Linked DNA regions of Lepisosteus oculatus. The protein of the gene in region 3 interacts with the protein of the main gene of each other region in a biochemical or structural test. Links are inferred from orthologs where the notes say so. Each region holds a gene or a part of one and is shown on either strand. Other genes may lie near its edges.

What was found.
Region 1: the proteins of ntrk2a (region 3) and ptpn1 form a complex in vitro, tested with the Homo sapiens proteins (2 studies listed by BioGRID, with this or other methods). The link is inferred for Lepisosteus oculatus from reciprocal best matches to the Homo sapiens genes NTRK2 and PTPN1.
Region 2: the proteins of ntrk2a (region 3) and bdnf form a complex in vitro, tested with the Homo sapiens proteins (3 studies listed by BioGRID). The link is inferred for Lepisosteus oculatus from reciprocal best matches to the Homo sapiens genes NTRK2 and BDNF.

What each region holds. Positions count from the first base shown.
Region 1 is NC_090711.1:12,093,180-12,103,628, reverse strand, and holds the start of ptpn1 (tyrosine-protein phosphatase non-receptor type 1), read right to left. Parts: upstream 4,507-10,449; 5' UTR 4,312-4,506; coding exon 4,243-4,311; intron 1-4,242. UniProt on the Homo sapiens protein: Tyrosine-protein phosphatase which acts as a regulator of endoplasmic reticulum unfolded protein response. Mediates dephosphorylation of EIF2AK3/PERK; inactivating the protein kinase activity of EIF2AK3/PERK.
Region 2 is NC_090716.1:3,155,515-3,165,745, forward strand, and holds the start of bdnf (brain-derived neurotrophic factor), read right to left. Parts: upstream 4,758-10,231; 5' UTR 4,194-4,757; coding exon 4,080-4,193; intron 1-4,079. UniProt on the Homo sapiens protein: Important signaling molecule that activates signaling cascades downstream of NTRK2. During development, promotes the survival and differentiation of selected neuronal populations of the peripheral and central nervous systems.
Region 3 is NC_090698.1:61,694,579-61,704,275, reverse strand, and holds the start of ntrk2a (BDNF/NT-3 growth factors receptor), read right to left. Parts: upstream 4,694-9,697; 5' UTR 4,633-4,693; intron 4,383-4,632; exon of another isoform or gene 4,290-4,382; intron 3,803-4,289; exon of another isoform or gene 3,672-3,802; 5' UTR 3,321-3,671; coding exon 3,115-3,320; intron 1,402-3,114; coding exon 1,327-1,401; intron 1,239-1,326; coding exon 1,167-1,238; intron 635-1,166; coding exon 566-634; intron 296-565; coding exon 147-295; intron 1-146. UniProt on the Homo sapiens protein: Receptor tyrosine kinase involved in the development and the maturation of the central and the peripheral nervous systems through regulation of neuron survival, proliferation, migration, differentiation, and synapse formation and plasticity.

The DNA.
Region 1 (10,449 bases), on a different chromosome or scaffold from region 3:
CTTACTCCGACACTAGTACACTAACTGCAGCGAACAGTTGCCTGTATACACTGCATACATACGTGAAATTAGTATCCGACTTAAGATTAGAATAATGATATTTACAGAAATGTGTTCAAGAATTTCCACCTATGAGACCTGAGGTCCAGAACACAAAGTGAGGAAGCAGAGTGAGAGTTAACATTTCACGGGTTTGTTTTGGTGTAATTCCTATTTTAGAAGAAAAGAAAACTATTTTAAGTATGTGGCACAAATATTTTCCAATGAGTCGTTCTTTGGGCTCAAAACCCGTTCTTCATCAAAGAACACGCCCTGTGTGTGAAAGCTGATGAAAAATCAGTTATTTATTACCAGTTTGTTGTACTGGTCTGCGTGCGAAAACTGTTTTTGCCGTGTCAGATGAGCTTTAACACGAGTTGCTTCATTAGGGAGAAGTACGCCCTGTTTCCGAGCTGCGTTTCAGGTTCAAGCCACTTATCCATTTCCTAAAGACGGCTTCTTCCAATTCAGGGGCGCAGGGAAGGCGGAGCCTCTCCTGGCAACACCAGGTGCAAGGCGGGGTACGCCCTGGATGGGATGCCAGTCTATTGCAGGGCAGGCACAAACACACTTACACCAGGACCAGTTTCCCAAAACCATTTAACCTACTAGTTTGTCTTTGGCCTGTGGGAGGAAACCTACACAGACACAGAAAACTCCACAAATATAAAACCCCAGGTCCAGAATTTAACCCGGTACCCCAGACCTGCCAAGACAGCAATGCCAGCAGTAAAGGTTAATTCCACGCTGAAAAAAACAGAAAGGAGAAACGCTGTTTTGCTTTGTCTGAAATGTTGTGACTGCTCTCTATTTTTCAGCATGGAATTAACCTTAACTTGTTCCTTTGCAGCCAACACATGCTTCTGATGCTGCTGCCCACTCAAAAATGTTTTAAGCTCTGCGGGGATCTATTTATTCGCAGGTCAAAACACTACTGCATTGGACTGGAAAGATGAAGACAAGTAAAAAGATTGAAATTTCAGGTTTCTTCATTTCACAGTCTGAGAGCAAGCTTTGCTTCCTCATGATAAAGGCATTAAAATATTAGCCAGTGCTATCTGAGACGAAGTTTACTTGGCCAGATGAGTTGAGGATTTTTTCTTACAATGAGCAGTGTATAGTGCTAGTAAAAAGGACACAGAATAGGGCTTACAGACATCGTACCTGGATAAACCAGTTCCAGCCAGTACACCATTGAACGGGACACTAACATGAAAGATCAGTTTACCACCTCCGATGTCTGCTACTTTGCACTGCAGTTAATCAAATATACTGGTTAAGCAAACCTGCAACACCTCAGTTTTATTCAAAATTAATATATTAAAAAAAAACTCGAAGAACGTTTAATCTGCAGTTACCTCCTGCACACCTGAAGTCAAGACTGTCAATTCACTAAAAGAACATTACCTGAAATGACATGTATTTTTGAAATATGATGCTTTCTGAGGTAGTTATGAAAAACTACCTTAGTCTTATAAACGACATGTTGAAAAAGAAAGTATAAACTGTTATCCCTGTTGTAAATATTTACCCCACAATGTTTCATTATTTAAAAATATTCAGCATCTGGTGAGTTTTTTTACCCAAATTGTGTTGATGATAATCTAGAACCAAACAGGAATGTTTTATGTTAAAAAAAGTCTGTTTTGTTAACATTTTCTGTTGAGGGGAAAACTGTTAGTAAACACTTTAGGAGATTGTAACACATTGTGCTATTCTCTGCATGTTAACCACTGATACATCCATAAAAGTAACTCTAAGCAGCTGTGAGAACTTGTAAATGATCGTTAAGTTTCCTTCAGTTGACATCCTAAAGATTTCTAGCATTAAAATTATATACATTCACATAAAAAGATGAACATGTGGGTCAAATGCACAGAAGATTTTTAAACTCACAGGAAAGTTGAGTGAATACATTTCAGGTCCTTTTCTATTGAACATTGTTCCTGTGCTGGACTAACGCAGATTGCAATGCAAGCTCTCATTTCCCGCCTGACCTTTACAGTGAACAGTGGTCTGTGCTCCAGACAAAGCTGGGAGAGATTTCCAAAGGTGACAGCGAGGAATCTTGGACAGGGAAGAGAACTGAAAGCCTATTGATCTCAGATTACAGCCAAGATTTAGGGAAGCTACTGGCATTTCTCCCTTTCCCTTAGACCTGTCTAAATCCATCCATTTCCTAACCACTTCTTCCAATATAGAGTCGCTGGGGAGCTGGAGCCTATCCCAGCAAGCAACACTCTGAACAGGACGCCAATCCATCTGAGGGCACGCACAGACACAGACACGCACACTCACACCCAGAGGCCTGTTACCAGTATGTTTTAAGCTGTGGGAGGAAACCAGAAACGCGGAGAGAACATACAAACTCCACACAGATAGCACTCCAGGTCCAGACATGAACCCAGAGCTCCCCAACACTGCTAACCACTGTGCTGCCACTGTCCACAACCATTCAAGAACATGTCAGAATTGCAAGTTTGATAAACTGACACTCTGTGCCCTGACTGCCAACTAATGAGTCCTGTCTTGGGCTCTTTCAGGTGCGGGTATGCACTATATGTGAGCACAATACCCTTTTCACAAACAGACATAACACACCTGCACAAGGCAATAGCAGGAGTTAGATGGCAGAAAGGCAGTGGAAGTCATTCACGCATGTCTTGATGTTTTACATGACCGCAATGCTAAAAGGTTTACAGATACTGCTCAGCGTCTTCTATAGTACAGTCCTGTGTTGTAAACGCTGCTTGAAGAGGAGCACCAATGCGTCATACTTTGAGGTTTTATTTCACACCTCCGCTTTTGTTAGCTTGATAAGGAGCAGGTAAAAAAAAAAATTCAGAACTGTTCCCTTGAGTTAAAATGATACTAGGAGCCCAGATAACAGGTGACGAATAATGATACTACTTTTCACTTTGTTGTACTGATTATTAAATTTGTAGTAAAAAAAACAAAACACTTTTGGCTAGTGACTCAAGTCCCGAGTGATGAATAAAATATTTTGGGTTTGGGCTAATACTTGCTTAGCAATTAACAGTCATTAGCCATTTCCTCTTTTCCGCATATCACAGAACAGGCTCGCATCAGAACGACTGATTGCACAATAAACCGATCTACATTATCAACGACTTGCAAAGCCTTCGAACCGCAAAGGGAACTATGATGCTCCAAATACACATGGCAATTTTTACATTTGGAAGTGGGGATCCTCAGTCTTAAGTTAACGAGTTATTAATACCGATATCTTCTGCTAGGGCCCCGGCGTGCTGTATGTGTAGTACAATACAGTTTTATTTCCTGAAACTGCCGCTACCGTTAACGTTAAAAAGTAAGGTCGAAATCGTGTTTTGGGGTGCAAAGAAACAACACTCGGAATAATCTTAAAACATAACATTACCGAAACAGAAGACTAATATAGTTTTTTACATATAGGTTGCCGACACCTTTCTAGGTTTGAAAACTAAATTATCGGAGTTTGTTTTACCCCCCCGCAGTGGGCGACTTTAATTTACATATTAAATTACATTTCTCAGAAAAAAGACACCGTGTCGCGCTGCAGTAAATTAAATTCAGGGAGTTCATGTAGAGAGGGGGTTTTCCGGCCACATTACAAATACATGTGTTGTGTCAGCGCAGCTCATCACAGCGTGCCTTGTTCAGCGCATGTATAAATAATGCTCATTTCCAGGTGTGAAAAGACCACTTACAATCTGACACACGTGTGTGAAAGCCAAGAAGTCACGTACTGTAGCGAAAGCAGTGTACTTCGTGGGCATGTGGACATCTTCCACGAACTCGAGCACATTGGAAAACTAAAGAAAATCACTTTTAAGCAGAGGGGAAGGGATTAAGCATTTTATCCTTTTAAATCGCGCGTTCTCCGAATCGACTACACGTCCAGTGGCAAAATCAGCAAATATCAGCCCTTTTCGGCTATCCACGTTGTCGTGGCTTCCCAGTTATTTAAAGTCTCTTCGCCTCCGGACCAACGTAGCTGGGGATCACCGTGTTAGTTGGACCAGTTCGCTCCGGCTAACGCGGCACATCCGAGATTACTTTGAGCTCCAAGCCAGCGCCAAAACCCGGGATATCCCCTCCTTCTTTAATCTATCGCGGCAGATTAGCAACGAGCCTGCTCGAATTACTCCTGTCGCTGCCTTCTACACCCCTATCGCTACCTCGGTTTGCCCCAACACCTACCTGGTAAATGGCGCTCCAGCTCCCGGACTCATCGATTTCCCGAAACTCGGCTTCCACTGCCGTGCTCATACCGCCCTCTCTCCCAGCTCCCTCCCGGTAAAAAACGATTAAATTGACAGCCGATGCCTAACTAATTACAAACCCCGATCGCTCCTTTTTCTTGTCCAGCATATAGATTTAATGTATTCTTTTCAGTTGTTTCCTGGCCTGTTCTAACCGGAAACACGCCGCTTGCGCCTCCCCGCACCGAGACTGTCCCTCCGCATTCACGGGACACGCCCACACCGCCGCTACATGGCCAATCGTGTCGCAGGAAGCGCGGAACTGTGAGTGGGGGAGCCAATCAGCGTTTCCCGGAGGGGCGGGGTTCCCAGCGGGCCAAACAGGAGGCGAGGAGTGAGGGCTCTAGTTTTTCTGGGACTTGTAGTTTATATATTAGAAACAATACGGATTTGCAGCTATAATTAATACTGTTGTAGCTGTCAAGTTGGTGGAAACATAACAGAAACGAAGATGATACTCCTAGGCCCTTACCGACGATCTTTAAGGTCTTGATAATATTGCAGGACACCGACATATTATATACAGCACTCGCATACTTTGTTTTATTAAAACACGTTGAGTATATATAGATACGTAGCATAGCGTATAGCGTAGACACCAAATGCTGTTAAAGTTCTTCAAAAATAAAAAAGTTAAAAGGTAGCAATATTTGACTACTCGGCTAATCCGGCAGTTGTCAACTCGTGCCTAATTCTTTACCCATCGTCTTTAAAATGTCCAGAAAGAATATTAGCTTTTATTAGGTTTTAATTATTTTGTGACACTGGATGGGTGTTTTTACCAGTTTTAAAAACATCCGTGCAGCCCAGACCACGTGACTGACTCCGACCCGCTGTGAGGGTTGTAGTATGCTGGTATGCTACTGTAGTAGGTTGTAGTATAAATAATGCCGAACTTCAATTTTTTTTTACAAAATATGTTCTCCTAAAGTAAAAATAACACTTAAAACAATTTCAGTTTCATTTTAATTAAAGTTAGTCTTTATTCGCTTTATAATGCGACACTACTACTACTGTTTCTGATCCGCATCCGATCATTCTAAAATCAAATTAGCATCGGTCTTGTTGGACCTGTTGTTGAGAATAATATTTGTAAACGTCTAGATTAAATCCAGTTTCCCGTCCCTCATTCGCTCGCTTAATGTTTAATCCCTTTCGCAACGATTAGAAAAAAATGAAACTCGTAAAAACAAAAGGATATTGCCTTAAGCAAAAGGGATTTGTCATCTATTTCAAACGTCCTTTTTCATGTTGATTTATGTCCCCTGGAGCAAAATGAACAGGCTTTTATAGTGTGTAATAATAAGAAAAGGGAAAATACCTTTAAAGATTCTACAATGAGGGATCTCATTTGTCAAAACTAGTCTGGTCCAGGCAGTTTATAATGAATAATATATATCATGCAGGCTTGTGACTCTCAGGTATGGAAAGTCTGGGACTTGAGCAAAGGCAGTCGACCGAGAAGAGTGCAACCTTTAGCAAGATGACATGACCTCCTGCAGACCCTCCAGCTCGATTGATTGAGCTGGAACCAGCTCCTTAATTATTGTATTGACAATCGTCAGGATCACTCAAGTAATTAAGGAGCCTGATTGCATCAAGCCCCGATTTAGCAAAATAGAGAGCAAATCTGGGGCAGTGGGATCAACATAGCTGAAATACTACCCAAATGTCCTCACGTAGACTCAAGTAAAATGGCAAAGGGAACCTTTTTAGAATGACTGAGGTCAAGTGGACCTGAAACATGAAGTGTGTAGTTTTTTTTTTACTTTGACCAATGTAAAATAAAGTTGCTTTCAATACCTTCTTTGGACAGTGTCAGATATGATATTTCCTGTTTTAACTTACAAAGATGAAAATTGCAGAAGGTACTATCATTTTTTAAAAAGCCAAATTGTTCCAAACGCGCAGTAATTTATTGCACATCTCAAGATTACAACATAAAGTGGCATTTACTTTATTGTAGAGAAAAAAAACAATTAGCCATTACATTGATATAAAAGTAGTCTTCATTTTAAAATGCTTATTATTCTCTGCAAAGAAATGCAATTGGTTAAAATGAGTTGCTCGTCTGCATGTTTTTTTTTTAATGAGTACAGCTACACATGCTATAAAATATATTGGAAGCAAAAGTGTGACGGGCTTGTTGCTGATGCTACTGTGCACAAACACAAAGCTCAGGCACAGTGCCACTGGATAAGGACGACATGACCCCCAACCATAAGGAAGGTCATTTTAAGGGAATGCACAACAGGTTTTCAGCACAGAAATGTGATATTAAATAAGGTTATAAACTTAACTTGGTTATTCGAATAATTGTGCACTGTGGATTAGTGAATCAATTAAATCTGGTAAGCACTACCTTCAGAGGTGACTACCAATAGATGTGCAAGCCATCAAAGATGCAAATGGTTGGAAAAGCTGACATAGTGCCCTCTGGTGTTTTATACTATGAACACATTCGTTTGTATATCAAATTGTATCTGTTAACAATGCATAGTTAACATAGTACAGGTGTTCAAAAAGGCCACATAATTTAAAATCTGCACAGCTCCATTAGAAGTCAGTTTACGGACTATACTTGCTTTTCAGAACCGTATCTAATGCCACAGAAAGGAATTTGTACACAGTAGTAAACTCCCAGTGCAAAATGCCTGCTGCATGGCACCACAGAGATGGATATGAAGTTCCCTCTTATCTGTGGAGTACTTAGTAATCTATTGGGCTGAAAAGCATTGTTTATATGCAAGACATTCTTGTTGAAAGTATTACACGTTGTTGATAATATCTCACCCAAACACCAGTTCATTCCTGTTCACTGGGATAAGTCTCTTCCAGTAACCATTATTTCTCCAAGACAAAACATTGTACCATCATAGTTTCCTTTAGGAAACAAAGAGCAATAACGATATTGCAGCAGTGGCAAAATACATTGGTATATTAAATCACGATCTTAACATGATGTCAAGTTCAGTTTTAATTATCTGGAAAACAGGAAAAGTAATACAAATGTGCCTGCTTGACCAGAACCACGATAACTCTCTTTACTGTGTGGAAGACACACAAACTGCCAGACTTTTATTTGATTCCCATATCTATATAATAATACATTATTCATGTAGTAAATGATTTACTGAAAAATGTGGCATGATGGTGCAGTGGGTAGCATTGCTGTTTCACAGCACTGGGTTCAATGCCAGATCCAAAGTGCTATCTGAGTGGAGTTTGCTTGTTCTCTCTCCATTTGTGCAAGATTGCTTGACTGCTATGGTTTCCTCCCACAATCCAGCAACATGCTGGTGGGTTAACTGGCTCCTGTAAAATAGGCTGAACCTGGTGTGAGTGTGTGCATGTTTGTGTAGGCTCTGCAACATATTTGCGTTCTGTGGATAGGCTCTCAGGATAGTAATTGATGAAACACAGCGGTGCTTTATCAATTTTTCTTGAACTCTGCTTTATCCTTAGTTACTCCTTATGAGTTAACTAATTTTAGAGACGTGGTTCCAATACTTCCTCCTGCTGTTCCACAGTGCTGTTCATTGATATAAGCCTATCTAGTTCTGCCTGGACTGAGAAACGGCGCAGCTAGGCTTCAGCACAAGCCAGACGCTGTTGTATCCTGCTCTGCCTATCGCACTCTGTCCGAATTCAGCAAGTGGACACATAAGCTGCCCACGTGCTCAGTGAATTTAGGAGGGTCCCACCTTCGAACTGGAAGCCAACGTGCTGGGCTCCTGTAGATGACACTTGGGATTTTCGCCGTGCAGATAATTTGATCCGACAGCCAGCATGAAAAGAAAAAAGCCTAAGCCGAAAGGCAAAGCAAATTTCTTCCCCTTTTCCTTATGATATGTATTTCTGTCACCATTGCAATTTGGAGGGAATAGATTGCAGTAAAATTGGATGTAAATTCGTAGCCTGAAGACTCACCTAGCCTAGTTCATCAATTTCTTTCTCAGTTTTAGAAAAAGTGCCTGTCAAAAACACAACCTGTATTTAGAAAGACAAAGAATCTAATCCCATCTTTAAATTTATTGCTATAATGCGTGTTTTCTCTTAACAATATGACGGTCTTAGAGGTGTTACTGCTTGAGTTCTCTATGGGGCAGTACAGTGGTAGCACTTAGAGCCCTACATTTACTACAAGACAATGCATGACTGAACCTGTAAAGTATTTCAAGATACGTTACTGTAATTATGCTGGAAGCCTAGAATAAGGATGATTAACATATTTGAGGAAGACATGCCAAAAATAAATTTTTATGTAACTCTTAGAATACACTTTCTCTGTGGCCTGTGTAAGATTTTAAATGACCATGCATACAAAACCAATAAGACTTTGAGCTTAAATAAAAAAATATAGGACAACCACCTTTCTCGAAAACCGCCTTTATGAAAAAGGTGATTGTTTAAAAAAAGTCTTCCTCACAATTTCCACAGTTGTCAATGAGAATATCAAGACTTGCAATACATTAATAATCATGGCCCTATCTAACAGTGATTATAAAATACAGGATAATTTCTGCTAAACGTGCTCCAGAAAGTATAGAGGCATCTTGTTTGTGGATTTCTCCAGATGTGAATTAAAACAGATCAATGAAACACCCACCTCTCACACACACATGTACATACAGATTCAAACGAGGATCTTAAAATGTATTGGAAAACAGTAAAAATTTCCTCTCCAGTTATTTAAGGGAAACCCAAATCCTATAGATTAACTAAGAAAGCACATTAGGTAGGATAGTTGAGTCAATCCTGCAGAAAATCTTAAAAGGAGTTTTTTAAACATATTTTGACATGGGTATCAGTGGAGGGATTGCTCTCAGATGCCTATGTATCTATAATAAAGTTGGGCCAGAAGACTCAAAAGGTCTGGCTGAAGGCCTTTGTTATGAGAGAGAATAAAGACTCCAAGGCATGAGGGCACTGCTTGCCAGGAAATAACACCTATTTTAAGAACCTGATTTACAGCGAGAGGCTTGAAAAGCTCTCACGATAAAATATAAAGAGAAAGAACCCTTCAGAAAATAGATGTACAACCATTATGATATTCTGATTCATCAACATCTGTCAAAAAATAATTTAGTGAACCTTTTCTCAAGACATACTGAATAACAGATTATTGTCCTGAAAGATCAGGGTGATGAGGTTAAGAGGGAGAAGACCTATTTTAGTTGAAAACCATAAGTAGCAGGCTTCCTAACATTTCTACCATCAGCTTTCTGGTCTAACACTGCTCAAAATTATTTCCTGAATGTTTATTCAAAAGGTCTCATTTACCCTTGGTCTGTGTTGTATTAAAGAATCTATAATCATTCTCAGACATTAAAATGACAAGTTGTCCGATGAGACCTGGTCATCTTCCCCCACAATTTAATTGTCTTTCACATCTTAGGAGACCTTTCAGAGTTTAGCCCTTCAGCATGTGTTTGTTTTGAGATCTGGATATCCATCCATCCATTTTCTAACTACTTCTCCAATTCAGGGTCATGGGTCCTAACCCAGCAAGCAATGGGTAGGGTACACCCTGGCCAGGACGACAGTCCATCGCAGGACAGACACAGTCACAAACACTCACACCAGGGCCAGTTTTCCCAGAAGCCAATTCATCTACTTGTATGTCTTTGGACTGTGGGAGGAAACCCATACAAACGTGGGAAGAACATACAAACTCCACACAGATACCACCCAGGTCCAGAATTGTGCCACTGTGCCACCTACATCTATATATTCTTAGCTGATGTTAAATGTGATTATGAGATTTAAAAGGTACTATACAAGTAATTGCAGTGTTTTTCAGCCTATGACTTTGGTGATCTCTTTGGGGATCTGTCACGCAAGAATAATGCATAACAAAGAAAAGAATAATGAAACATAAAATGTTAATGAAACATAAAATTCCCATATATGTGTTTTCCCAAAGAGTTGCTTATCAGCCACTCAGTACACAGTACCCAGATGAGATGTTAGTTTTAGGGGCTCAAAACAGCAGTTAGAATTCTGATAATAACCTTCAACCATTTCACATTAAAGTATGAAAAGTATTTTAATTCATTTGCCAGGGAGCCGAGAATGAGGGCACAACAATTGATTGATACAATGGAAACAGAGTCGACATTAACAATTAAAAGTGTCTTGAAAA
Region 2 (10,231 bases), on a different chromosome or scaffold from region 3:
CCACTTATGCAGGACAATACTGCACTATTACCTTGATCTCACAGCACTTCATGTGGGCCAGCCCTCACTTACTTAACTGAGCAGGAGCCCTGAGGGTTCATGGACTGAGCCAGGCAGATGGCTTCTTCTGCAAACCAAAATCCAGAATAAACAACGATCCCCTAGGTCTCAGGCATCCAATAGTATAGATGCTTGTGGTGTGGAAAGGAGATTTAATTTCTAGCAAAAGTGTCATGTTAACTCTGTTGTCAAAAGACGGAGGTGGAATCTGGGCGTTTGCTGAGCAAACAACAATATATTATGATTCTTCCTTCAGTACATTACAAGCTAAAGGCATCTTTAGCTCTGCGTCTTAAAATATCCGGAAAGTGTGGTTCCTTCGTTGTTGAGAAACCGAGGGGGATTAAACGGGGTTAAAATATTTGAACTATTTCACCGGAGATATTTTTCTCAGAGGCACACCTTGTCCTTTGCAGTGAAATGCACACAGCACTTCCCCATGGGTTTGCCTTGTAGAGGAATGAACTGTGTAAAGTTTCCTAACTCTCTGCTTTGACACAAAAGAATTCAAGCGCCCCTGAAATGCACACATTGTATCTATACAGAGTTCCTGGCAAAGAATCTCAAACAAAATTAAAATGCAATCTCAACTGCAATGAGCTTCAGCAGAGTATCAGCGGACAGGAGCAACACCAATCATACTTTTTCACCAAAGAAAAGTGTGTGAAATGTCAGGCTTTCGGTCGCTTACGGAAATTTCAAAGGCTCACGTAAAAAAAAAGCCCTGCAGATTTTGATTTCAAAGACTTTTTCGTCGAGCTATCAGAAGGGTCATCGACAGTCTGTCAAAACGGTGCCTGTGGCCACAATCACATCAGGACTACTGTGTTCCTCACTCCCTTCGCATTCACCTCCTTCGCTAGGTGGCCGCTGTCAGGCTAAAAGATTTCTGCTCCAAACAATTCAAGAGAAATACCTTTAAATAAGTTCCAACGCCTCCGCCCCTGACCCCTGTAGCTAAACAGATAGCGCTCTAGCAGGACTGAGAGTTCAAATTAGTTACCTCTTCCACAATGACCCGAGGCAAAAAGGTGTTGTTTTTGGAAAGTAAAATTCTCAAGAAAGTCCTCGCGAAGCCCTTATGTCCACTTCAGACACCAACAAACTCAACTCAACTCACAGGGATCAGGCCGCCACCAGGGACTGTGGCTAATCAGCTTAAAGGCATTGTCTGAAACATCAACAATAACAAAAAATGCCCTTTGGATTTCTGGGAAGAGTGCACCTTTGGGTTTGCAACTTAAAGCAGCACTGATTTAGCCAAAAAGCAAATATCCTAAAAGGGCTGTGGTCTGCAAGTCTTTGCTAATATTATAGTTGCATCTCCTCCCCCAGAGCATGACCATGCACTGGGTGAACACAGAACGTACACTTCGCATTCCCCCCCCCATTACACATAAATAAGCTGTACTTAACCTTACCTAATCCCTTAAAGGAAGGGTCATAGGGTCATCGGGCACAAGGGTTAGGCTTTTAGAAAACCTGAAAATGTAATTCCCACTTTGATATCCCAGCACATCCTAATCCCCCGTCCTTCCCTGCAGGTTCTCTAAAGGTGCACTTTAACAGGCCGCTGCCAATTTGCAAATGATAAGAAAGACAATACTATGAAGAGGGCTGTGCCAGCTTCAGCAGCACCTGTGTGCCAGCAAGTAGTGCCAGCAAGCAACACAGCTTATACCACAAGACTTCTTCTGTATTTGTGATGTGGCGACTGGATTTTTTTCAAATGAAGCCAAATGAACGGCAATGAATTAAAGAAGTTCTGAAGCTGCCTCTTTTACTCTGTCCTGTCATATGAATGATATGAGTAAATGAAAAGGCATGCCTGTGCTTTTTTTTTTTGGTGCACCCAGTACAGCATGTACATTCTTTTTAAAAAGAATCCCCTTAAAACCTAGAGCTTACTCATCCACCTCTGCCAAATCGAGAGAAGGCTTCACACTCGAAACATTTCACAGCTCACGGTTTGCAAATAATTCTGGAGACTTACTGAAACAGGTTGTCTGCACAAGAACATCAGGTCTTAGCAAACCAAGCTGTTTTCCGCTACTTTTTAAGCAGTTCTGGGAGTTGTTTGCTCCAATTCCCATCAATTAGACACATTTATATTTTGATAGCGGTGGAATTCTGCTACACGAAAGGATTTGCTTTCTTGTATTAAGACCTGTTTTTAAATGACATGGTGAGCACAGTGATTCAGTCTCAGCAGAAAAACAATGCTACTCTCCGCAAGCACACTTGAATGGTAACATGTACAGTATAAGATTACAAGCAGAGCCGTCTGATGAATTACCCACTAAGTTCCTATGGGAACAGGACTGTAAATTCATCCTTTCCAAACACAGCCAAATTCCTAAATCACAAACTGAGGAGAGTGCAGATGAGATTCCCAGAAACGTTTTGAACTAGTGGGCTCTGGTGCAACATTTTCTTTTCCACTTAAAGAGCTCAGCTTGACGTTTTGGATAAACAGCAAATTCTCCTAAAAAAGAAAGAGAGAAAATAACTTCTACAACCCAGCCAGCCTGGATTCTCTGCAAGGTGTTTTTTATTTAATTCCAAGGACACAGTCCTGTTTCAGCGGTTTCACCAAACCTTATTTAATGCGCAATAGAGGCATGATAGGGATTAGCTGGTTAATTGGCGGAACTGTAGGGACAAAGCTGACAGACCCCTCTTTTTGGCAAGGAAAGCGCAAGGGGACTGCTGTAAGGGTGAGGATGGGGTGCGAGAGAAGATCGGAGAGTGGGCACTCTGGAGGTGAGGTCCTTGCATGCAGGGAAGCTGAGGTGGGTGAGACTGGGGTCTGACCTTCTACAGAACGTCCATTTAGAACTCCACATGCAAGAGTCATCAGGCTTCAGCAACTCCCCATCAACACCTGGGGATATGGTTATAGGCCAGTTTTCATGACTAGATCCCTCCTTGATCAAATTCGGGCCACTAACACATTCACCCTAGTGATTTTTCCTGCTCTTCCAATGTTTTAAACTGGAACCACACATATTCTATATACAAGCCATTCACTGTGCTTTACTACATTATACCATGTTTCCGTGAGCGACATTTTACAGCACTTCAGGCCAGGAGTTCTCTATCTTTAACCCGCTGCTAGAGAAAACAAACTACTTAAGTTGTCCATCTACTTCCTCACTGAAATAAAAACCCACAGAAAGTCAAATATGTCCCAGTGTAACTTAAGCACATCTTTTAATACATGAATTCTTTTCTTTTTCTTAACGACTATCACAGGGCACAGCATTAGAGGGAAAGAAAGGCTGTGCCTGACAGTTTAACAAGGCTGCAAATGTCACGCACAAGACACTCCACAGAAATGGAGGCCGTGTAACTCATTAGAATCCAATTGCTAGTTACTCCTCTGAGCTTTCTTCTTGCCGGGTGACTGACGCTCTTTTTTTATTTGGCTATTTCCTGTTTCAGTAAAGAAAATCAATAGGACTTGTCCTCAAAACTCTGATCCAGTTAAACCACAATCACATCCATGAACCACTGCAGTACTCTGGGGCTGCCTGTGATAATTCCAATTCGGGGGAAAAAAAAATACCCCAATACAAATACCTTTTCCTTAAATTTGTGAAATACAATTTCACCTGCAGCTGGGGTTCGGACGTCTGATTACGGCGGCTGACTTACAATTTTCTATACCTAGAGAAGGTCAATTTGGCGATTGTAAAAAGAATTACAGTATCAAAAAACGGTCATAAATTAGATTTAACACACCATGAATATTTGGGGAATCTATTTGTTTCAGTGAAGCTAATCCCCATTTAAAGAAAACGAAAAGCCCAACATTGCTTTATTTATACTCTATCTCCCAGAGCTAATGATTGCACAATTACACTGAGAAAGAAATGAAGGACAATCATTGAAGACACACAACCATTACCGTTTAATGAGACAATAATGAACTGCTCCTGCAACACTGGAATGACACCTTTTGAAATGAGGAGAGTGCAGAACAAGCCCACACACATTAACAGGCCTTGAGATATTACCTGGGTCACTTCAAATCTCCACGTCGGCTCGGTCTTGCAAAAGAACTTCTGCCTTTTTTTACCACTTGCGGTGCGTAGCTCAGCTTCCATTCCAGGGGTGGCACATTTCATCATTTATTTTTAAACATTACGCTGTCCAGAAAGGAGAAAGACTGGGAGACACCCGGCAGTCTCGGTGTCCTCTATTATAATCTTATTTGCCTATTTAAATTGCTGTGCTCTCTGCTGGTGAGTCTAGTTTCTCTCATTACTCTACAGGGGTGACATTCAGCTAAATTCAGCTCTGGTGCTAAGTACTCTTTTCCCACACGCTCCTTCATTTCCGTCTCTGTGCAGAAGGATGAGCCAGAAAGTCACCTCTTCACTTCGCTGGTTTTCTCCTCTTGCTTGGTGCCTGCTTGCAAGTCCCATGAAGGCGATGAGCAGGGATTAGGGGCCAGAGCAAGAAAAACAGAATCTGACTGTCATTTCAGAATGTGACCTGCTGACAAGTTGTGGGCTTTACATATAGGCTGGGGTCCGTCCTCTTCATGCCTGCTAGAGGGACTAGAAGAGAGACTGGCACTGCTAGATTAACAGATGAAAGGTAATTGCGCTATCATCTCTTCTTTTCAAGGGGGCTGCACTGTTTCCTTAAAGGATATATAGTGTCCTTTTAATCCCGAAAAAAGAGATTACAGTAAAGCCCTATTGGACCAATACAGGATTGCTTCCTTAACATAAAGCATATGGCAAAATGTTTCAATGACTTTTTTAACAAACACAATTGAATCCCTGCTCTGTGCCACTTCCATTTGCAGCACAATAATAATTGTTTCTACTTTAACAGCGTATCCAACAATGTGAATTATTGCTCCGGTTACCTAGTGTATAGTGCCTCCCTCTCTCAGAATTCAATGTTCTTGTCCACTGGTTTGTGTTTTAGTTTTCTTCCAAAGGTTATCTTGAAGTTAACTGATATGACAATCCAGACATGGCTTACATTAACCTCATTGAGATGTAAACCCTTCCTTGAAAACACTACAGTATAAAAAACACACAAATGCATGTTCATTGTCACTTCTTTCCAAAGAATGCACTTTCCTAAGAAGTTCTGCATTGCATAACCATCACAATCTTTCTCACTTCACTGAGATTGTACAAAAAAACAAATCAAATCTTCCTGGACAGAGAAGGACTGTTCTGTTTATTTTTTTTTTGGCTCTCTTAAGTTTATTTTTGTTCATCACTTCCAAAGTCATTGTAGTGACAGTCTTGATAATATCAGCAACAGTAAACTCCTAAGATTTTTTTTTTCAGTGACCCTAAGCTTTCTTGTTATCTGTGGAAAGGTGACTTCCAGAACCAGACTTGATGACTTCCTGGAAATGTCTACATTCCTGCAGATAGAAAATTAAGAATTCTGGAAGGTCCAAAAATCGGATCGTGCGTGCTACAATTAGGCTACTTGGTGTTTCCTGGAAAAATCAGGGACAAGCACCATAGTTCTAATGGAATGACGTTCTTTCTAAGAAAAACGTTCTTCAAGGAAAACTGAATGAGGCAACTCCATTCAAACTCATCATAGCTTGTTTATTGAATGCTACAAGAAACTGAATTGCGTTAAACAGTCAGGAGTGGATTCTGCAATAAAAGTAAATAATGTAAACAACCTTTCTCGACAGTTATTTAATGGAGTTTATAATGAAAGTTCGGGAGGTATTCCAACAGCCAAGTTCAATCAGCCTCAGCTGTCAGTAATTTGTAATCAATCCTAATGTCATTTCCTTTCCTAAAACACTATAAATACTGTATGTGACCCCCTTCTCTCCTTCTCTCACACACAAGGTCTCCTGCCTCCCTCTTCCCCCCCATCTCCCCCTCTGCAGCTGCCCCTGGGTCACCCCTCACTCTGTATGGGGGTCCCAGCCTCCTCATTCTCTGGCCAGGAGGTCAGCCCTCACCCACACAGGTTCAGCCGAAACTTTATTGTGACTAAACCTTAATAAACTCCATAAACCTTTCAATACGCTTGATTCTTGGGTAAGTGTTGTTATTTCTGTTGGAAGTTACTATGATACCGTCCTACTGTGCTGTAATGAAAGATGCAAAAATATGCAGAGATTTTAATCATGCTTAGAGTGCAATTTTCCTATTGGCTGCTAAGGCTAGCTCTGCAGGTCATGTGTAAAACTAATAAAAGAATCAACAGATGATGACACTGCCACTTGTTTTTTAAATTAGGGCTAGTGTTGATTTAGACTGGGTAAACGTTGTTTTGCTTTGTGCTTTCAAAAAACAGGTGTACGTTATTTCTCCATTTTTTGCTGTCAATGAGTGTGCATATGCATGCAGACAGATTTTTAATGTGCTGTTTGGGGCATCGCAGTTTCATATCCTTTGTGTGCAACACGATTTTCATATTTGACTCATGAGACCAGTGCGGTCAGCGAGTGTCAGGCAAAAGACACGGCACCACTAACACAAACACACTATGGTCTAAGTGGAGGGGGACTGAGCTCATAGCTCCCTTGGCTCCCTGCTCTTCTGTGGATTCATGTGGAATCAGACTTTCACAGTAAAGCAGGAATTCAAGTCTTTGCATGAAAAACTCTACGAAGGTCAATTAATACTTGCAAAAAAGAGAGAGAGACGTTTGGAAGCCTGCATTTAACTATAAGTGAAAAGCCCTTCTGTCCGACAAGTAACATTAAATAATCTTCTACCACTATCCTATTTATTCAATTCATGTATTTTTTTTAAGGACAAAAATATGTAGCAGCACTCGCCGAATGTCAATTCCTATAATTAACTAACCTGAAGTCATAGTTCTCTTCCTCTAGCTGGCCTGCTTAGCCATTCGCCTGTTTTCTACCACTTAATCCACAGCTCCAGAGCTGATTAACCAACCAGCATGTTTTTGGACTAAAAGGGGACATTGCAGCACCAGGAGAAAACCCACGTGAACACAGGGAGAACATGCAGACTCCACACAGACAGTCCCCTGGTTCCAGAATTGAACCAAGAGGACCGCGGTGTTGCTAGGCAGCAGTGCTAACCACTGGGTTACCCTTGCCTGCTTATCTGTCTATTAACCAGTATCCACTACTGCAGCGCTATAAAAACAATACTTGGGAAGTGTGCCAGAACCCTCGTGGGTCAGGAACGCGTTTCGCCAATAATCTGCAGGAAATGTATTTTGTATCTGCCGGGCCGTATAGAAACTCAGGAATTTGTAGTATATAGACCTTTAAATACCTGTAACTCGACGTATTTAAAAAAAAAACATCATGTTGGGCGAAAACAACCTTGCAGACGAGCCTTCTCTCCTGGTGCCAGAATAATAATAAAACATTCCCAATTTAAATGTTGTCCGATTACCATAATTGGGTCGGGTAGTACCGTGACGTACAGTAGCCAAAAAAAAACCGCTATTAGATTCCAGTGCGTTTCAGCAGGTTACCAGGTCGATTGGTGAATTAGATTCTAGTCACAACTCAATAACAAAAAAAAAAGATCAAATGCAATCTTTCCCTTCCCGTTCTGTACTGATCCAGAGAGATGTCATCTAATTAACCCTCGGATGCATGGTCTAGGTCTAACCTTCATTGTTCTCGAACTTCCAGGGCCGACTAGAGCTTTTATATATAGATGGATTCGAGCTGGAGTTTCCTCGCGGCTGTTGTGTATTGTGTGCCAGGAGCAGAGAAGTCGAAAGAATGTTCCGGCATCCGAAAGCCTCACAGCAATGCACCCTGCCCCTACGTCACAGCCCAGGTTTACGTGGTAAACCATACCTTGTGAAGGTACACATTTGTCTTGTAAATACTTCAGTAGCGAACGTCTCACGTCAGGGCCACACGACTAGATACCCTTTCTCCCAACGAGGCACAGACCCCGTGCTCCTGAGCTCACTCTGAGCGGCAGCGCTTTCAAAAGCACGCCTCGGCCCTCACCTGTTGGAGTGACCAATGAGCCATCTCTGCCCAATCAATAACCATGCGCACAAAAGGGATTTCGAACGACTTCAAAGATTTGCTTCGAGTGGTCAGAAATCCTCTTGATCACCTAACAAGTAAACGTTCTAACCTTGGTCACGAAACGGCCCCATGTGTACGAATTGCAAATATTTACAGAAAACGTGCTTTCTTTCCCGGTGCATTCTTAAAGGGGCAGGAAAGAGCCGGAGAAACCTGTCACTGCTACAATTCCATCCCCCCCGAAACACGTCCCAAAATGATTTCGCCTTCGGTCGTTTAGTGTAAACCCACAACTGAATCATCGTTTTAAAACGCTTCGGGTCCTCCAGAAGCAAAATCGTTATGTTGTTTTTTTTTTTTCCGGAAGGCTTCGCTACACTGGGAGTGTTAAGTACACGTCTGACAAATTAATGCGCATATACAGTACGTTTTGAGCCTCTCGGCTTCACTCTTTATCTCAGTGATTGATCGGGGGCAGAACTTCAATATTTAAATAGATTCAGTTTCATTCGTTTGGACGTGAAAAAAGCGGCAGATAATTACACAGTCTCTTTAAAAAATTCATGTACCGGGATAAAATTACACTCGCAGAGTCAGCTAATAGGCTATATTTAATTAATAGAGAAATGAGGGGGTTTCTCCTGAAACACCAACAATTCCTAGTGACGTGACGCAGAATCAGCCCTTAAGGCTGTTGGCCTTATTCACTCGGGAGACGACGAATCTCCAACCAGTTTACTTCGCTCTGGGCAACGTACGTAAATCCGTCAAGTGTACATTTATTCCAGCAATTCCATGAACGCCTGACAACAGATATGATTTAGTATTTGTTTAAAAAAATACACTTGTTTCAAATCTTCGGAAAATTCTGACACCTCTTTTGCAAACATCTATACTGCACTGAAACGAGTTAATTGAAACACGCCGGACAATTAAAGCTGCGGAAACCAATTAGCGGCATCTCGCGCTCTCGGCTTATTAACTGATGTTCTTCGCTGTCTTGGATGTAAGCGCTCAGCGCAAGGCGTCAGCCGGTTGCCATGGCGATTGTGCATCCACTTCAGGGATGACTGACGTGTCCAACCAGATGCCGATGACTCCAATAGTGTAGTTTTGACTCCAATAGTTTGCGCTCTGTAATTTACAAAGAAGCTGGACGCCAAACCGAGAGACTCATGTTGTTTTGCCGGACACTGGAGTAAAAGTGTTTGATTATCAATTACTCACCCGGGGGGTTTACGAATATAAGTTAATTGTTTCAGACTCCTGTGCCAGACAAAGAAAATAAGACTCTTCCTCGTCCAACAGAGAGTCTCGGAACCGTGTAATGACATTTTGACAAGAGCGTCCCCTCCGTCACTAGCTTGGGACCGCGGTGCCGGCGGGACCAGCCTGCGCTGTGTCTGTATGAGCGAATGAAAGGTTAAAAGCAATATGATAAAACGCGCAAAATCCTTTTTAGTGACCGTAGACGTAGCGAATACTTGCTTGTTCCGTGAAAAAGAAAACAACTCAGCTCAGCGAGCAGCAGAGGTGAGCGCAGGTGCTAAGAAAGCCTATTTCATGGACAGAGTGAGGGGTCGCCGTTAGTGGCCTTTCATTTTCTAGCCACCCAGTTAATTAAGCCCGACCCTTTTCTGTACAGCCCCAGAAGCGGACAACAAGCAAGGGTTTCTGGAGAACCTGCTCACCTCGGGGTTTTGTCGCACCCAAGACGGCAGCTCGTTAATTAAGTTAGTCTGTATCTGCATCTGAGATCAGCCCAGGCCATAACACTGTGACTTAATTGCGCATATTAAACGTGGATCGAAGGCTGTTCCTGTAGAGCGCAGGGCTGAGGGCGTTCTCTGTCCGAGCCAGCTGTCCGAGCTCCGAGCCGGAGGACAACCGGCGCATATCGCGGTTCTCCTAAAATCGTTACCGGGGGACCTTGTGCGCATCGTCATTTTCCAAGCGCCAACTCGGGAATCCGGAGAGCTGCAGCCCTATGACCGTTAGAGAAACCGAAAAGCCCAATTAACGTGGAACTGATCATCAGTTTCGCTTCGGGATCAATAAAGTCTTATCTTATCTTCTCTCTTCTGAATATACCGATCTGTCCGGATATTTCTGTTGTACCTGCCCGCGCAGGTGACTCGTACCGAACAGTCACCGAATGCGATTCGGGGATGGACGAAGACTTTCACAGTGGGG
Region 3 (9,697 bases):
TTGTTATTTCACAACAAGCCCTTCAACAGTTTTTTTTTTTAATGAAAATACATGTTTTTATATATAGTACACCAAATTGCATGGTTAAATAAATCATGTGCATTTTATTCGGGGGTTAATTTTAATAATAGTAAAATTGAAATTACCGCACTCTGGAAGAGACAGTTTGGAGAGTGGCTTATTTCTATTTTTGTCATCCCAGCACACTATCTCTTGGCTCTCTGTTTCATCTCCCAGCCATAGCTTGATCCACAAGTTACCACATGAGCACTGCAAAGGATTGCCTGAAAGGATACTAAATGGCAGGGTTTTCACATTAAAGTGCTATTTTGATAGACAGTTCTAAAAAGACAAGAAAATAAAGGAAATCCGTGGCAAAGTTTATTTTTACTGGGTAAAACTACTTTATTCTGTATTTTATTCAATTATCTTGAATTTACAAAAAAACATATTTTTGCTTGTGTCACACAAAAAGGATTCATATCAGCCTTTCCTAAGGTAAAAGCATGCATATTTTATCAAACAATCCCATAGACAGATATTTTGCTTTATCACAAATACTTACAAACTTGTCAAGTTTAAATGCCGGAAGGTCCTCCAAGACAATGATGACAGCCTGTTGTCTTTTAGATTCCTGCAATTCAATCAATCCACAAATAAACACCTTCATAGCACAAAACACGCAGTGAGTAAACCTAGCAGACAAGGCCTATTAGTACATCAGCCAACGCTAGGATTTGGCTCTTATTTGAGAAGACACCATGCTCAGTTTCAAATTGTGCTGCACACAGAATTGTATTTATAGTTCTTGACCGGTTATAAAATCACAATACATCTGAACACTGTCACTGAGATATACTGTAGATATAAAGAACCTGCTGCAATGTAAAATGTCTGAATCATTTTGTGGCAAAAAGAAAAATACAATATTTTTAGCACACTCCCCTTTGTCAAGACATTTTAAAATTAATCACTTGAAATCCAAATGAACACCAAAGTATGTGTACATGACTGAAAAAGAAAACTAGGTTTTCATGTTGTACACTAGATGTTAGTAATTTATTAAAATAATTAAAAATGTGTATATAACATTAAGTTTTTTTTTTCATTTATCCATAAACTGAAATGAAAGTACTCAACTTACAACTTACAAAACCATTACTTACAGATATTGTAGCTTCACATTGTTCTGAAAGGCCAAACGGGATATATAAGTCAATCCCGAGTTTGTCACAGTTCTGTTGACAATGAAAACAAAATGATTATTGTTGTTGTCGACTGTTGTCATAAGTATTATCATTGCTGTTTTTAATATCTGATACTTACAAATTCCTGAGGCTCTTATAGAACTTCACATCATTATCGGTGATGGCATGTAAATTACTTTGATTTGCAATGTATCTGTTAAAAGACATTAAAATAATGTTACAAAAAATTAATTTGCCTTTTACACAGTTAATAATATAATGTGCATAACTTAAAATAATGGCCTTACATGTTCACTAACCATTCTTGAATATTTTTGTCATTTCCAAAAACTATTAAAGAATCCCTTTGCTCATTGTGTGTTGTGCTTTTATAAAAAAGAGGGCCCTTTAAGATATTTTATCAATTAATTTATGTTAAGTCCAGTTATTGCTTTTTAGCAATTCCTTATATAATCGCTTCTGTAAAACGCCTCTATAAAGTGGGCTACATGCTTTAGTCATTTTGTATGCCTTAGTAAAGGCCTTAAAATATTTTGATGAAAACAGCTGGCGAGGTGAATTTTTTTTTATCGATTAATTGATCTAGTCTCTTAAATTCAAAGTTGGATCGATCTAACAGTTGTGTGTCAATTAACGCTTTTCTTGATGCACTGGTGGTTTCCCCATAGTTATATCACAGTGTTTGAAGACTTTATATCGCAGCAAATTATACAGTCTAAGAACCTAAATAACTAGTATAAAATAAGGCTACACTAAATGCGCTCTATCGTCTGTTTGAAAGAAATCTACCTTGTACAACAAATAAGAAAAAAATAGTTTCAGGTACCTAAGGGGCTTGATGTTAAGTCTTTAGCAAAAAAGACACTTCGCGGATTAATGTGTAGCGAATTATACGACTCTGCTTCCTTTAAATTTCAATGGCCACATTTATGTTTAGGGCCTTTTTTATCTCAGCAGTCTATCTTTTCAATAATAAGATAGTTATAAAAAAGGAAGAATAACAGTCTTATAATTTCACACCACAGCTGATGTATAATAGCTATGCTTCTGCATAACCTAGCTGACCAATAAAAAGTCAATTTATCGTATCTAAAACTAAAGGTGAGCCAAGAACTAAATTCGTTTGCTGTAGGGAGTGATTCTAATATGCCGCGTCTTTGCTCGGATTTTGCTAGGGTTGCGTTCCTTTACAGTCTATCAATCCTCTTATTACGGGAATGCAAAACTGGCTGATAGCAGCAGCAGCCTAAGCCGTTCCACATTTCAGCACCTTTCCAATGAAAAAATGACATACATCCTATTGAAAGTCGTTTTCGCAAATACGTGTTTCTTGTTCCACACACGTTGTCTAGTGTCGGGTATTGGGTCCATTTTAGTTAAATAATTATACCACGGCCACTGTTTGAACATACATATAAGCGTGTAGTTCAACTGATGCTGCCCTTTAATGGCTCATACAGTACAGTACAGTGTACATCGCATTTACCACTGACAATCCTTTAAGATCTACATAAACCTAACATATACAGTAATCCATTTACTTCCAGTGTATTTGTGTGAACAGAATTGGCCACTTTACAAGTTTATTTTAAAAGCACTCTGAAAACAATCTGCCGGAGCTTCCTTTTGATACATTCCTTCAATCTTTCTGCTCATCCTTTCCACACATGTCCTCCAGTGATTTTATTTTCTTTAACACTAGCCCGCTGTAACAGATGAGCCGATAAGTCAACCTTGCACGATGCTGCTTGAATGAAACTTAATTCTGGCTTTGCTCACCGCACATTGCAACGCGTTTCGTCTTAATGTTTTTTTTTCATTTTCGTTTCGTTATGATTTTTGTAGTACAACTGGACACATTATTCCAATCCTGAACGTATCCATCTCTCATGTGGATGATACTCACATTTCAGTAATGTTTTCCATTTCTATATCGGTGTTTAATACAGGGAAAGCCTTGATTCCCCATTCTTGATCGATACTGGTACATGAAATTCTTGAGGTGCTGCATGTACAAACTGCAGGACAAGCGGCGCTAAACCTCCAAAGCCCCAGCAAAATCCAACAAAATCCCAAACGAGCCATTACACGCCACTTCCAAGAGGAGATCATAGTGGATCCCTCGTTGCCCTTTCCAGATTTGGTTAAATGATCCTTCCTTATAAACCTGTCGGCGATCTTGTCAGAAACAAAGGCGAAAAACCATGAGATAATCCTTTCGGTAAGAGGTGAGGTTGTGATCGAATTGTCTTTTCTCTCTCCGCAGTAAGAGAGTCATACAATATTAAATGTAAAGGCTTTAAAGTGTGCCAAGGTTTCCTTCCCCCCTCTCTCCTTTTCGTTCGGTGTCTTCACTCTCCAAGGAGATTTGGGTTGGCTGGTTGATCGCAGTGGTGCAAAACACCACAGAAAAAATGATGCTGTTGCTGCTGCTGCTGCTGCTGCTCCGTTTCTGCTGCAGGGCTGGAGGAAAAAAAAAAACAGGCAGAGATGATCCACGCAGGCTGAAGCGAGCGTGTGGTGCTGTAGTGAAAGAGCGAGTAAGTGCGTGATGAGGACAAGGCAAGGAGGTACCGAGTACCAGCAGTCGTATATCGATAATTACCACACGCGATAAACCTACAACAGCCGCTCGTTGTAATTACGAGCCTGATATCAGAAATGATTTTCGCTGCGATTTTCCAGGAGCAAAAGGTTATTGCTAGAACAGAACAAAATAAATCCTATATAGACAAAACTGGAGACTGGCTTTGCATGGCATGAAACATGTTAATCATTTAGAATACCATTATATTAAAACATGGTGAGACAACCTACACCGGAATATAAATTTCGAAAGGAGATTGACATTCGAGAAAATCAGATTAAAAAAAATGTTTGAATTTAATCAAAGGCACACCTTCATATTACCTGATGAGGCTGCAGTGATATACTGTACCTCAGAACAAGCAAGCGGTAAAAGCTTCCAAGTGTGTTTAATTTACAGTCTGATTAAAGATATGATTTGTACTGTACCTATAAAATGTGAGGTAGGAAATGTATGGATACCAAAATAATGCTATAGAAAATGTTTAACAATACCTATTGCCAGTCACTAAATCCAGCATTACCAAATATCGGATGAGAGTCAATGTGCCGCGTTGTTTCACACACACACACATAGGCACTCACTCACGTAGTGTATTCCAATAGCTGTGAATGTGACGTGATATTTGACGCAAATATGAGATTCTGAGAGAATCTCAGAAATCAGAAATACGCCAAAATGCCTACTGTAAAATGCTTGAAGTGATTCCAAATATTTTGCTTTTATCTTTACAATTTTGAAACTAAACATGTACACGCAAGCATAGTGTCTGTATTTAGCGCAAAAAAAGTGAAGTACGCTTCGAGGTTTCTAAATGTGTGTTAGTGGCAATATCACCTGTTAAAAAACAATCAGCAGCAAACAGCCGTTGAAAACACTAATACTGTATATCCGCAGCAATTACACTGGACCAGCATCGCTTCTGTATAAATTATTATTTATACAGGAAATACATTGCATAAAGAATTGAGAAATTACAGGATAATGCTCAGAGTTCAAGGAGGCAGAAACGCAATAAAACCCTGTCTCCAGCGTCACAAGACACCTAGTCGTGTCTGTCAAAACTTTCGCCTGCAGTGTAATTCCGTGTTTTTGTCACGTAATGTCACCAAATGGGAATTTCCCATTTTCCTAGCACGAAGTCACGATGTTCTCCTCACGGATTTACCGCAGCATAAACACACCTCACACATTCTTCATAATAGTCTATATTTGATATGATTACATGTAATAGATCGTATTTACACAAATAGTATCTGCATTATATGTAATTCAACCCCTTTAGGTTACTAAAAGAGTTCTGTCGCGCTATCTATTATCAAAATTCTAAATTTGTCTAATTTAAATATGTATAATGTATGTATAAATAACAATGTGTATATACAGTATATATGACTAAATGCTTCACTTTAAGGGACAAGCTGTATTCTACTGTATAACCTTCAGGGTACAGAGATTTGTTCGTCGTTTGCCGATAAGAAACTTGTAAAGCGAGCTTTTATTTTCCACCCACACAACGATAATAAAGAGCACCTGTTGTTAACCGTGGTAATTGTGGGATCGTGGTTGCCGAAAGGTGAAGACAATGTGTTTTCTGGGAATACGCCGATTCATTTGGCTCCAGACATTGTACCGCAGTAATTCAGCAGAGTGATAGGCACATTTTAAATGGCTGCCCTGACACCTAGCGAGACTTTAGAAAATCTGCACATGTGAATAATACACAATCCCTTGACCTAGCTGCGCCCTTGCGTCTTCAGAGGCTTATTGTATTTATTACATACAGGTCATGATGAATAAGCATTTGTGTATACTGTACATAGTATGAACTTTAATGTATTATGTGTTGGTATTGGACTGCAGACATTCTGAAATGGTTCCCAAGAATGGCAATACCCACTAAGTCTCCAGCAAGGAGGATAAAGATCCAAAGAGCACAAATCTGAGAAGGAACTGTACGGAGGCAAGGGATGAAGAGTATTGATGATACACAGTATAGTTGTGAATCATAAGAAAAAACGGTAAAATGTCCAAAAATATGCCATCATCAGCATTTTGAAGGCTCATACTGAGAATTCAGGCAACGTCAAGTCAGCTGCAGTTCTGTACAGCCCAACAAGTGGAACTACTGTATGTGATTTACATAATGGAAAGGTATTAAAAAACACCTCTACACATATTTCCTTGGCAAAACCACTCTTTTTTAAATGCAATTGTTACAAGATTGTGTTTTTCCCAGTATGAAACAGACAGAAGGCATTCAAGGTTATGCATGACTTTGAAATTAGAACTTGTTCATGTACAGGAAACCAAGAGTAGCAAATACAGTAGGTAGCTGTGTCCGCATGTGTAGGCTGAAAAGGAACAGATAAAGGTTTATTTCATTCAGAAAAGAGATGAAAAGAAACACAACCTTTCAGCTGTGGAGCTGCTAATGTGGTCCAATTTAGCCAAAAATGTATTGGAAAAAAAAGGTGCGCACACATACACACACCGTATTCCAAAGAAACTTTAAAGAAAATAAAATATGAAATCTGAAAACAAGCCATTCCTTATTGATGACAAAATTCTTACTGGCACTTTCAAAGTTTTTGTAACTTGTTTGGGATTATGAATGTTGTTCCTTGAAGCAACAAAAAAGCTTGTTTGGACTAGCTTGATAATTAATGTGGGCTGTAATTATTGACTGAAACACTGAAAGGCAAAAAGATTATTCCTATTGACATTATTCTTGAATTCTTCATCTGTGAATGATCTCATCTGATTTTATTTAAATTATTTTGCTTGCAACTCAAACAATAAAGTTCAAAAGGATCAATGAGGTTTTAGTGCAGGCAGTGCTTTCCAACTGTGATGTTTGTAGAGTCTTTGCACAAACTGTTACTAGATAGAGTTATGATTGTTACAAGATAAGTAATCAGAAATGACAAAACCTACAGTCTAATGCAATGAACAAAAGCTATAACTACAGGTTATCCTTCAAAACTACAAAATAATATTTCAATACAGCATTAAACACATTATCTGCCTGTTTTTACAGAATACATGCATATTAACAATATTTTCTATGACAAGCTCCAGATGAGCACTTCTGCCTCCTAGATAGCACTAAATTAAATTTGTACACATGACAGTCATTACACTGGTAAAATGAATACATTGGCCAGTGTTGGCATACCACAGGACCAGTAAACAATCCAACCTGATCCCATCCAGAGTATCCAGTATTGAAGTTTGAAACAGACCAGCCCTTTATCCATTTCCCAGCCGAGCCAGATAACTAGCTAACTACGTTTTGAATTTCAAATTCAAGCTCTCATCCTGCCACTGTAGCTGCCCATCAATCTGTCTGCTCATCAGTCCATCGTGGAAGTAGATGCTCTCCTTTGACTGCTATCTTATACATACTTCTTATACAAATATTCTGCACTCCTTAAATGACTTTGGGTAGAGAGGCAAAAGATTTCAAAATTAACTAAATTAATAACAATCACATTTCAACGTTTCAAAACAGATATGACTTTCACTGGATGTTTATAATTGTTCTCCAACTACCTTTTCAACTGAAGTCTATGTATGCAAGGAAAAAATACTTGACCATTCTCTTAACATTGATATTTTTTCTTGATAAGTACATCTTAAAAGACTCAGACAATTCGCAAGGAAAATTGACATGCAGCTGTAATTGAAAAATGGCCCAGTGTCTAATAGGCGCATATTTAGCATTGATTCACTTAGGGAATCTTCTCCCTGTTTTATTGTGTCTAAGAATATTTCAAGGTTTGCAAAATCAGCAAGTCTGCCCATATAAGATTAATGTAGAGAGCTGGATAATGTGCTTCACTCAATAATTTTGTGTTTATCTAATTATATTAAATATAATTAAATCAATATTATAAGGGCCTTGTTTGTTCTTAGTAGTAATTCAGACATTCAAAAACAATCTTTTTTTTCACTCCCCCCAAAATATCCCACTGAATCAACTTTTTGAGAACTATTGGATAATTGTACATTACTTGAGACCTGGCATTTGTTCCACAATGTATTTTACCTAAGCAAATTGAAGGTAAAACAATTGACATGTACTTGAATCACCAAAGGCTGTTTGTTCTGGTTCAACCTTTATGTCTTATGTTTTCTCCTTACAGTAGGCTAAAATCCTTCCAGACAAAATCTGTTCTTTTCAAGTTTACATCTAGTCTGCACTCCTTTTAACCTACATTTAATACAATTTGAAATTTTGCATTTTATTAGATAGTTAAATAGTTAAGTTAAATTTGCATTTTATCATATATAATCTCTTTATATTTGAATGTTTTAATTCAGAGCATTAAAAGACGTCTAACCTTATGATTATTGTTCTGATCAGTAGCTCTGGTTGGGTGTCCAAAGTGTGTTACCATGTTTATGCTTAATCAAACTGACTGCTTCTGAATCCCTCTCTTCTAAGCAGTAATCTGCAGTAAAGGCTCTGACAGTACAGGAGATGATGAGACAGAGTTGCTAACAGATGGCTATTTCAAGGTGATGTATAACAAGTGAAAGCACAGACATTACAGTATAAACTGTGTAATAAACTAGGCCCTATTATTAATCCAAATACTGTAGGGAATTCCCAGTGAAGAGATATGTGGATTACTCCTGCACTGGGATTGCAGGAGTAGGTAGGTGTCGAGGCAGGCGAACAATCCGGTATGTCAGGCGAGTTCGTGGTCAAAAGGAGAAAGGTGGTTCGAAATCCAAGAAGTACAAATAGTGGCAAACAATCCAAAACGAGAGGCGAGGTCCAAAGTCAAAAGGCAAAAGGGAAGTCCAGAATCCAGAAGAGTGTGAGGTACAGAATAAATGCCAGGTAGAGCTCTCAAAGAGTAGACTCAATACGGAGCAGCAAGAAGTGGGTCTGAATGGCTAAAATACTGCAGCTGGCCGCACGGTAGGGCTTCCGGTACTGAGTTAACACGTGCAGCGGCACTTGTAAGTATCGCCCTGCTGCTGACACTGGTTAGCTCTCTTGGGGGCTGGTCTGGGCAGGCTGGTGGTCGTGACAAATACCAATGACATGGTCTGATACTTACAAAGCCTGAATTTCTAATGTAGTATCAGGGCTATATGAAGGGATTTATTAGCTTAGGGTGCACTAATGCTTTTTCTCAACATAGGCCACTCTAACTCCAGTTCCTCCGTAAAAGATTTTGTATAGCAAGGCCAGCTCATGTAAAAACCTCCCCAAGTGTACAGTACCGTTCAAAAATCTTTACAGATATGCCAGGGAGAAAATAAAATATATAGCAATGCTCATTCTTTATTATCGGACAAATATGTGTATCCATGAACAGATAACTGCTTCCTCGGTTTAAAGCTAGTTTTACCTCGCACATATATATAAAACACTCCTTCACAATGTGAGCGTGAGAGACAAAACTGTTGAATGTGAGAGCGTTTTGTGTGTGTTTGTGAGAGGTAAAATGGAGAGTGTGATAACATTTAATGTGTATGTGAGAGGTGAATTATGACCCAATGTAGGTGGTCCGTCTAAATGGCACAATGTGATTGGCTGCGAAAATGTAACAACAAGCTGTCTCGTTTTCTGCTGCACTCCAAGATAAAGGAAAGAAATCAACCCAAACTCTAAGAAGCACTAAGACAATCTGTAGCTTTAATTAATAACATCTGAGCCACACCAGAAGCAATAGCTTCATTGTCATCAGCTACGACGCCCGCCATTAGTGTTCTTCTGTCTGTTCTTGCTTCTGGTATGTCCCTATCTGTTTTGTACAAATATGAGGATAGATTAACCTACTTGAGTAATTAGTTATTCTATAACTTAAATTGCTCATTCATGGATCCATTTAGATGTTTTTGTCTTCTTTGTTCATCATTTAGTCATACTCAATTTGTCAGG